2 linked regions of the Astyanax mexicanus genome follow. The protein of the gene in region 2 purifies or fractionates together with the protein of the main gene of each other region. This does not show direct contact. Links are inferred from orthologs where the notes say so. Each region holds a gene or a part of one and is shown on either strand. Other genes may lie near its edges. The genes, in order: faslg and casp10.

Region 1 (3,929 bases), on a different chromosome or scaffold from region 2:
CACCCTCTTCAGTGTCAAAATCAACAGCATTGCAAAGGAAATCAGTCCAAATCTCATCAGCACTAAGATCAGCACTTGGTCTTTCAAAAATGGCTTCAAGTTTTCTAAACCCAAAACTGTTTGCACTCACTTCTGTCAACTGCGAACTTTACACCATGAGCCATTGTTATATATGGATGGTGCAGCAATCCAAGTTGTGAAAGAGGTTAAATTCCTTGGTCTTACATTTGATAATAAATTATCTTTTATTCCACATATGAAGAATCTTAAGAAGAGATGTTTTAAAACTCTGGACATTTTAAAAGTGCTGACAAAGACGAAATGGAGGGCAGAGAGGACTGTTCTGCTACGCTTGTATAGAACACTTGTGCGATCCCGTTTGGACTATGGGTGTTTTGTCTATGGATCGGCAAGAAAATCTTACACTCAGATGTTGGATACTATTCATCACCAAGGTTTAAGACTGGCCTTAGGGGCCTTTAGAACCTCACCAGTGCAGAGTCTTTATGTGGAAGCTGGAGAACCATCCCTTCAACTACGACGTTTGAAACTTGCTCTACAATATGCAGTTAAAATCAAGGGAAACAGAGATAACCCTGCCTACTCCACTGTCTTTCAACCGCAGTATCTGAATTTTTATGAGGCTAGACCCAGGACTATCAGACCCTTTGGACTGAGAATCAAACCTTTTCTTGATGATTTGAATGTTGATCTAGATGGATTAACATCTACTCACCTTTGTTCTATTCCCCCTTGGACCCTGAGGCAACCTATAATCGTGCAGGACCTGAGTCACAAAACAAAATCAAGTACACATCCAAACGAGTACCAAAGTTGCTTTCTTGATGTTAGACAACGCTTTTCATCGTACATTCCAATCTATACTGATGGCTCAAAAACTGATACTTGTGTGTCCTCAACAATGGTAGTCTCTTCCAATCATTGTGGAATACGCATCCCAAACTTAGCTCTATTTTTTTTTGGGCTGAAGCCCAAGCCTTGCTTTTAAGTCTTGAATACATCGAACAACACCACCAACACAAGCCCCTGATTTGCACAGACTCTAGATCATGCCTTCAGGCTTTGGAATTTTTAAAGACTGACCACCCCCTGATTGTTAAAATACTTGAAAAACTGGTCACATGGGCCTGAGTGGTAACGAAAAGGCAGATAGTGCTGCTAAAGGAGCTTTGAATGAAAACATCTCTGAGTGCCAGATCCCTGTCTCTGATATCAAACCTGTACTTTCGTCCTATATTATTGATAAATGGCAAGCTGAATGGGACAGCTGCGATGACAATAAGCTGCATGAAATCTGCACTTCTGTAAAACAAACTGTAACTCAATTATTTTCTTGTAGACATGATCAAGTTGTTTATACAAGGTGTAGGATTGGACATTCTAGGCTCACCCATGTTTTTTTTACTAATTAGAGATGAACCTCCCCTGTGTGATCACTGTGGCAATGTTTTATCAATCAAGCATATTTTATCTTGTCCTGCTCTTAGAGTGAAAAGACAGCAGTTTTTTTACAGAAATTACTACTGTAGATATTTTTAATAAGGTCTCACCTTTGAAACTTTTACCTGGTACAGATCTGGCTTTGACCATTACTATTAAGTAGAAAAGAGCTGGTCCGCTAAAAGCAGCTAAAAGATCTCAAAAATTAACACATTATGCAGATCTGAAGTTGGTAGTGTGATGGTCTGGGACTGCTTTTCTGCTTAAGGGCCTGGACAACATGCTGTAAAAGATTAAACCAGGAATTCTGCTGTTTACCAGACAATCCTGAGACTTTTGCAGCAGGACACGGATCCAAAGCACACAAACAAGTCCAAGTCCACAAGTCCACCTCTGAATGGCTTAAAAAAACGAAGGTTTTGGAGCCTAGCCTAAGTCTGATTGAAATGCTGTGAATGATCTTAAACAGGACATTCATGCTCGAAATCCCTTCAATGTGGCAGAATTAAAACAATTCTGTAGAGGAGAGTTGGCCAAAATTCACCAAAAGACTCATTGGCAGTTTTTGGTAAAGCTTGATTACCTTTGTAGTTGCCAAGTGTTTTGGTTCAGGGGCAAACACTTTTTTTTTACACAGGGCTAGATTGGTTTGAATTTTTTTTCCTTTGATAAATAAAACTATCATTTAAAATGTGCTTTTTATCTTTATCTGGTATTAAAGTTTGTTTGTTAAAATTTTGAAAAATATCAGTATGACAAAAAAGCGAACAACAAAAGAAATCTGTTGGGGGCCAATACTTTTTCACACCACTGTACATGACTAACTGTAATGCATGTACTCTGAGTGCATTGTGTAAGCAGGCAAAAAGTTTTCCTGTCCGTGATGTCATCAGAACCCATCTCATCAGCATATGCATGCTGAGAGAAAGAGAGAGAGGTAGGTTGTGGGAGGGCCACATATGAAGTGTCGACCACATAAGAAGTCTTTTAAAAATTTGTAGCTCTGTAACTCTTTTTATACACACACTCACCCTTGGACAGACTGAGAGCTGTAAGCATGAATGGTAACCTAAGGTACCAGTATCCACCAGTGTTCACAGTGGATGCTGCAGGAGGCCTTCATCAGCAGCATCATCATCATCATCCCCAGATGGCTGCTGCAAGGACAGATCCGACCCTGGTTCCCTGCTGGACCTTTCCCCCTGCTCGTGCCCAGACCAAGAGGAGGAGCTGTGGAGGACTGACCTCTGCTGCAGGAACCCTCCTGGTTATGGTGCTGGTGGTGATCTTTGCTGCACTGGGACTGGGAGCCTACCAAATTAGGAAACTCGAAATGGAGGTGATAAAGCTCAAGAAGGTGAGAAGCTTCACTTTTGTCAAGAAGAGTTTCATAAAGTGACAATAAATAGCTGATTTTGATGCCTATGAAGAATCACAAAGAATAAGTTCTTCTTTGTATAGAAGAAACTTTGAATCAGTTCAGCATTTAATAAATGTAGCATTCAGTGGGTTCTTTAAATTGATGGTTATGTATGACCATTGCCTTTTAGAAAGAGCCCCCCTCCCCTGTTTAAGTGTATGATGTTTGATTATGTATTATGTGTTTGTTTGTTTGTTAGTTTGATCTGGAATTAACTTATATTAAATTATAAATTATTTAAAGTTCTAAATTATTTAACTACAAAAAAATAGTGGCCACTAAAAACCATGAGCAATTGAAGTGCTGCCCCCCACACAGGTCCTTGTCATTTAAGTTCAATGTATTAATTTCTAGATTTTCTAGTTTTTTCTAAAGCTTAGTGCATTAGAGCATTTTCTCTGCATTTTGACATTTACTTGAGCACACTCGGACCGGAATCGTCTAAAAAAAGATAAAGGTTTGTGGTCACCAGTCCATCAGTACAGGATATCCTCTACTCAAACCAGAGCGCAGTCAGACATACATCTCACCTTCTTCTTAAGAAGTGAAAGCTGAGCATAAAGGGCACAAAGATGGTCTCTCTACACTCTAATTCATCCTCATTTACACATTAAGAAGTTTCTGTACATTGTTTACAAGCACCAGTATAAAAATCTGATGCATATGCAGAATTTAACACCCCTCATACTGTATTTCTATTTCTTTCATGACAGGAAATGAACAAACCAACTGAAAGCATGGCACCGCAGAAGCTGGTTGGTAAGTTTCTCAGGCTGTTATTACCTGTGGCCTGCTTGTGCTTATTGCACTTCATCAAACACAAACATGAGAACTAACCTTCTTCTTACCTTTTGACTTGTTTTCAGGAAACCAAGTAGAAGCAAATGAAAAGGCCAATCATATTGAAGCTGCACATCTGATGGGTAAAGACCATTTCTTTTTTCTAAAGGGTTCTAGTGTGAAATAACTCCTACACAACAGCAGGCATCATGTGTGGGATCAGATAAAAGACTAATTAAAGATTCTTTTTAGGCTGCACATGAACACA
Region 2 (3,929 bases):
GAGAGAGTGCACGGTTGTAGTATAGAAAACGGGCCAAAGAGTCTAACAACTCCAAAGAAACGAAAAAATGGACAGCAAATGCAGAAAATTTCAGGCATGTTGGGAAAATTACTATTTTTTTACTAGTATAATATTAAGAGACATTATGAACCAGAACATTAATTTGAAAAATCTTAGTTTACACAACACTGTCTAAGACAGATAAAGATAGTAACTCAAGTAAAATGGTGTGTAAATGATAGTAATTAAGGAAATGTTTTATTATAAGTAGTATATTTCATTATTTGTTTTATTGATTTTTGAGTCTGTGGTCCATGACTGCACATATATTTCTCCTTCTGGCCCACAACAAAAAAAAATTGTACACCCCTGATCTACTGCAACCAAAAAAATATATGTTTATTCAGTGTTCTTTGCTATCAGGCCTTCTGCTCATCGTAGTTTCCTAATCAGCCATCAAAACCAGTGAAAGGCAATGGGACCTATCCAATTGAGGATTTTGCAGGAATGTATAGTTCACAGCTGTACAGTTTGTTAGTTTTATAACTCAAAAGTAGCAGTTTACACGTTTGTTTTGGACTTGACTAACAGGCTATTTGGGCATATTTGTGCTGAATGTTGACTGAATTAGTAACATACACGGTCAGTCAAAAGTTTTAGAACAGCCCTATTTTTAGTTAGTCACCTCTCAGGCCTTTAAGTCTTCTCTTCACTACTAAAACTGAGATTTATGTCGAATGTTAAGCTGCCATGTGGATCAGCCAGGCCGCTGGATGGGTAGCAGTGGCGCCATCCAGTGTTTTCCTAGGCAAAACCGCCACAGAGCAAAACTATGTAGCAGTATAGACTGTAATTGTCACAGTCCTGTCTGTGAAATATAACCAAGTAAAACCAGGTTGACCTTAATTAGGACAGGATTTGAGCTTCTCATTGATTAAACAACATGCTACGTCTATTTAATAATTATTCAAAGGTGTGAAATATATTCACATTCATTACTTAGGTAGAATTATACATACTAGGGTTTAAATATACTTATGTAGAAGGTGAAGTAGCAACTCAAGCCTTTTACTTAAGTACAAGTGTAAAAGTACTGGTTTTAAAACTACTTAGAATAAGTATAAAAGTAAAAGTAATTCAAGGAAAAAATGCCATTAAAGACAACAATTAGGCCATGCCACAGGAGCCTATAGTGCACTACCCCCTTCCCAAAACACATTTTACTAAAAACCATAATGACTACAATGTTATACTAAAATGTTAATGTCGAAAATCTGGATTACTGCATATATACCCATTGAAAATGAACCCAATGCAAATATTAAAGAAACTTAGTTGGAACATTTCACTTGAGTTCTCTTGAGTCTCTGCCACAATATATGGATCACATGTAAACCAATAGGGAGTTGTATATATTTATACTTCTCATTCAACCACAATCAAATTCAATCTATCCAGATGGAGAGATTTATCTAAATAGAATTTTATTGAAACCAATAAAAAACAGCTGAACTGAAATAAGAGTAAAGAAGGCTATTTTTTTAATGTAAGGTGTATAAAGTACAGATAATTGTGGGAAAATGCATAGAGTATAAAGTACAGATAATTGTGTGAAAATATAAAAACTAGAAAGAAATGATAATTGTGTGACAATGTAAGGAGTAGAAATTAAAGATAATTGTTTGAAAATGTAAAGAGTAAAAAAGTACAGATAATTGTTTGAAAATGTAAGGATTATAAAATACACATAATTGTGTGAAAATTTATATTGAAGTAAAACGTCGTCTGAAAAGTATTACTTTAGTAAAGTAAAGATGACCAAACTTTCTACCTAAGCAAGGTAAAGAGGGATTTGTTCTTTATTATTCGACACTTCCGGCAGAATCTCTCATTTCTTCACTTAAGGAAGTAAGTTAACCTAAATTTCCTAGAACTGTAGGGTTCAGCCCGGGTGTGGTAGGTTAGCTAGTGTATCTTGTGACACGGACAGAGTCTCTTTCACGTCTGTATATAACAAATATATCTTCTGCCTCGCTCCCCAACAGACTACACCATTAAATATATAAAGTTTAACTTTTAGCCGACGAGTAAAACGACTTACCTGTTCCTCCATGCTGTGAGGAGTCCTGTGGGAACACCTTCAGCTGAAAACAGGAGAAAATTCCCTGAGAGGGTAATGGTTCATATTCAACCTAACAGCGAGAATAATCAGCTAAAATACGCTGACTGGAATGGCAATATTTCGACTGAACAAAAAAAGACGTTTTCTTGCGCACAGAAAGTTTTTCATGTCAGAGAGTAAAACCGAAACTGTGCAGGGAAGGTGGGGAGAGGGTGGAGTTAAACTTAAACACGCAATCATAGAACTTCTAGAGAGGAGAATTCCCATTTTAAAGATATTTTCTTGGAGTCCAAAATGAATAGATTCATATGGAGCATTTGAGCAGTTTATAAATGTTTGATAATTTCTATACTGAAAATTGCACCCATTTCCCACAGCACAATATCACATGGTTCAGTGGCAAATATATATTTTTTAAGTTTAAAAACTCCAGTTATAAACCATTTAAAATGTTCTGGCTGTAATTCCAGCATCAGCTGAGTTCACCAACCAGGCAGCACTAGAGGTGAGTATCCCAGCTCCAGACAGTAAAAATCCAGACCAGGGTTTTGTACCAACTGCCTGACTAGAGGTGGGTAACCCAGGTCCAGGGCCGCCCATGCAGTTGGTACAAAACCTTGGACTGGATTTTTACCTTCTGGACCTGGATTACCCACCTCTAGTCAGCACACAGAAGGATTAGCCTAAAGGTAGCACATTGACTGCCTAAAACCTGTTAAATATAAAGGTATGTTTTCTTTGCTTGTTTTAGCAACATTCTACATATCCTACTTTCCAAAAATATATCCAAAGAATATCCATGTCAAATGGTTATAGTTACTATTTTTAATTTAAGTTTTTAGGCGTTTAGCTCCATTCACTTCACCTCACCACATTTTGAACTCCCTCTAGTGTTTGAACAGTGATTTTCTCATATATATACAGGGATATAGGATACTTTCCCATTAGTATCTGTCTGCAGAGCCGCGGATATACGCCAGCAGATTCACGCCAGCAGTTTTAAGACAGTGGTAGCGCATTTTTTATTGTGCTGTCAGATGCTTAAAAGTACTTCAATGAATTACATGACTTGTGATTAATTAATCTAAATGAATCATATTTAATCACATTCGTCATCAACATGTTTTGAACTGTCCAATTCACCAGAATTTTAGCTGAGGAGCAAATGAATGAATAAATTTTTTCAATAGAGCTCCCTGTACTGAACATCAGTCAGAGGCTGTAAATACTGCGTATCTTACAGCATTAAACCAATGTCTCATAGCTGCAGCTTTAAGCTTTATTCACCTAAAATTACAAAAAAATTACAGAAGACACTCACACAAGCCTGAGGTTATTTTCAAATACTAACAGAATTTAGATATTTGACCATATTTTTTCAAACATATACCTAGTAAATAAAAAAATATTGTTTCATCTATATTTTCTGAGCTTTGGCTGTTATAATGAAACTAAAATTTGGTTTCCAGTGTTGTGGTTTCTCCACATTCAAAAAGTTACCGGTACACATTGGTACACTCCAGTCATTATTGTTGATTTGGCCATAGACCATATATAAAACCTAAATGTTGCTTGTTGTTAGGCTTGTTGATAGTACACCAAGAATCTTGAGTTCAATTACTTTAACCAAATGATCTGCGTAAGGTGCTCATGCATGTAAACAGATAAAAAAAGCACCCTTTACCTAATTTGTTACAAACTTCAGTGAATTTGTGTAAAACTATGTGAAAATAGTAAACATTTATCACAAAAATTAAGATCCTCAGGGCCTCCTTTATTGAAATGTTGTAAACTATTAGTTCCTATC

Evidence for each region.
Region 1: the proteins of casp10 (region 2) and faslg purify together in Homo sapiens (co-immunoprecipitation; 3 studies listed by BioGRID and IntAct, with this or other methods). This does not show direct contact. The link is inferred for Astyanax mexicanus from reciprocal best matches to the Homo sapiens genes CASP10 and FASLG.

What each region holds. Positions count from the first base shown.
Region 1 is NC_064408.1:62,930,803-62,934,731, forward strand, and holds the start of faslg (tumor necrosis factor ligand superfamily member 6), read left to right. Parts: upstream 1-1,591; 5' UTR 1,592-2,518; coding exon 2,519-2,818; intron 2,819-3,594; coding exon 3,595-3,640; intron 3,641-3,747; coding exon 3,748-3,804; intron 3,805-3,929. UniProt on the Homo sapiens protein: Cytokine that binds to TNFRSF6/FAS, a receptor that transduces the apoptotic signal into cells. Involved in cytotoxic T-cell-mediated apoptosis, natural killer cell-mediated apoptosis and in T-cell development.
Region 2 is NC_064418.1:32,518,787-32,522,715, forward strand, and holds the start of casp10 (caspase-8), read right to left. Parts: upstream 2,338-3,929; 5' UTR 2,114-2,337; coding exon 2,102-2,113; intron 1-2,101. UniProt on the Homo sapiens protein: Involved in the activation cascade of caspases responsible for apoptosis execution. Recruited to both Fas- and TNFR-1 receptors in a FADD dependent manner. May participate in the granzyme B apoptotic pathways.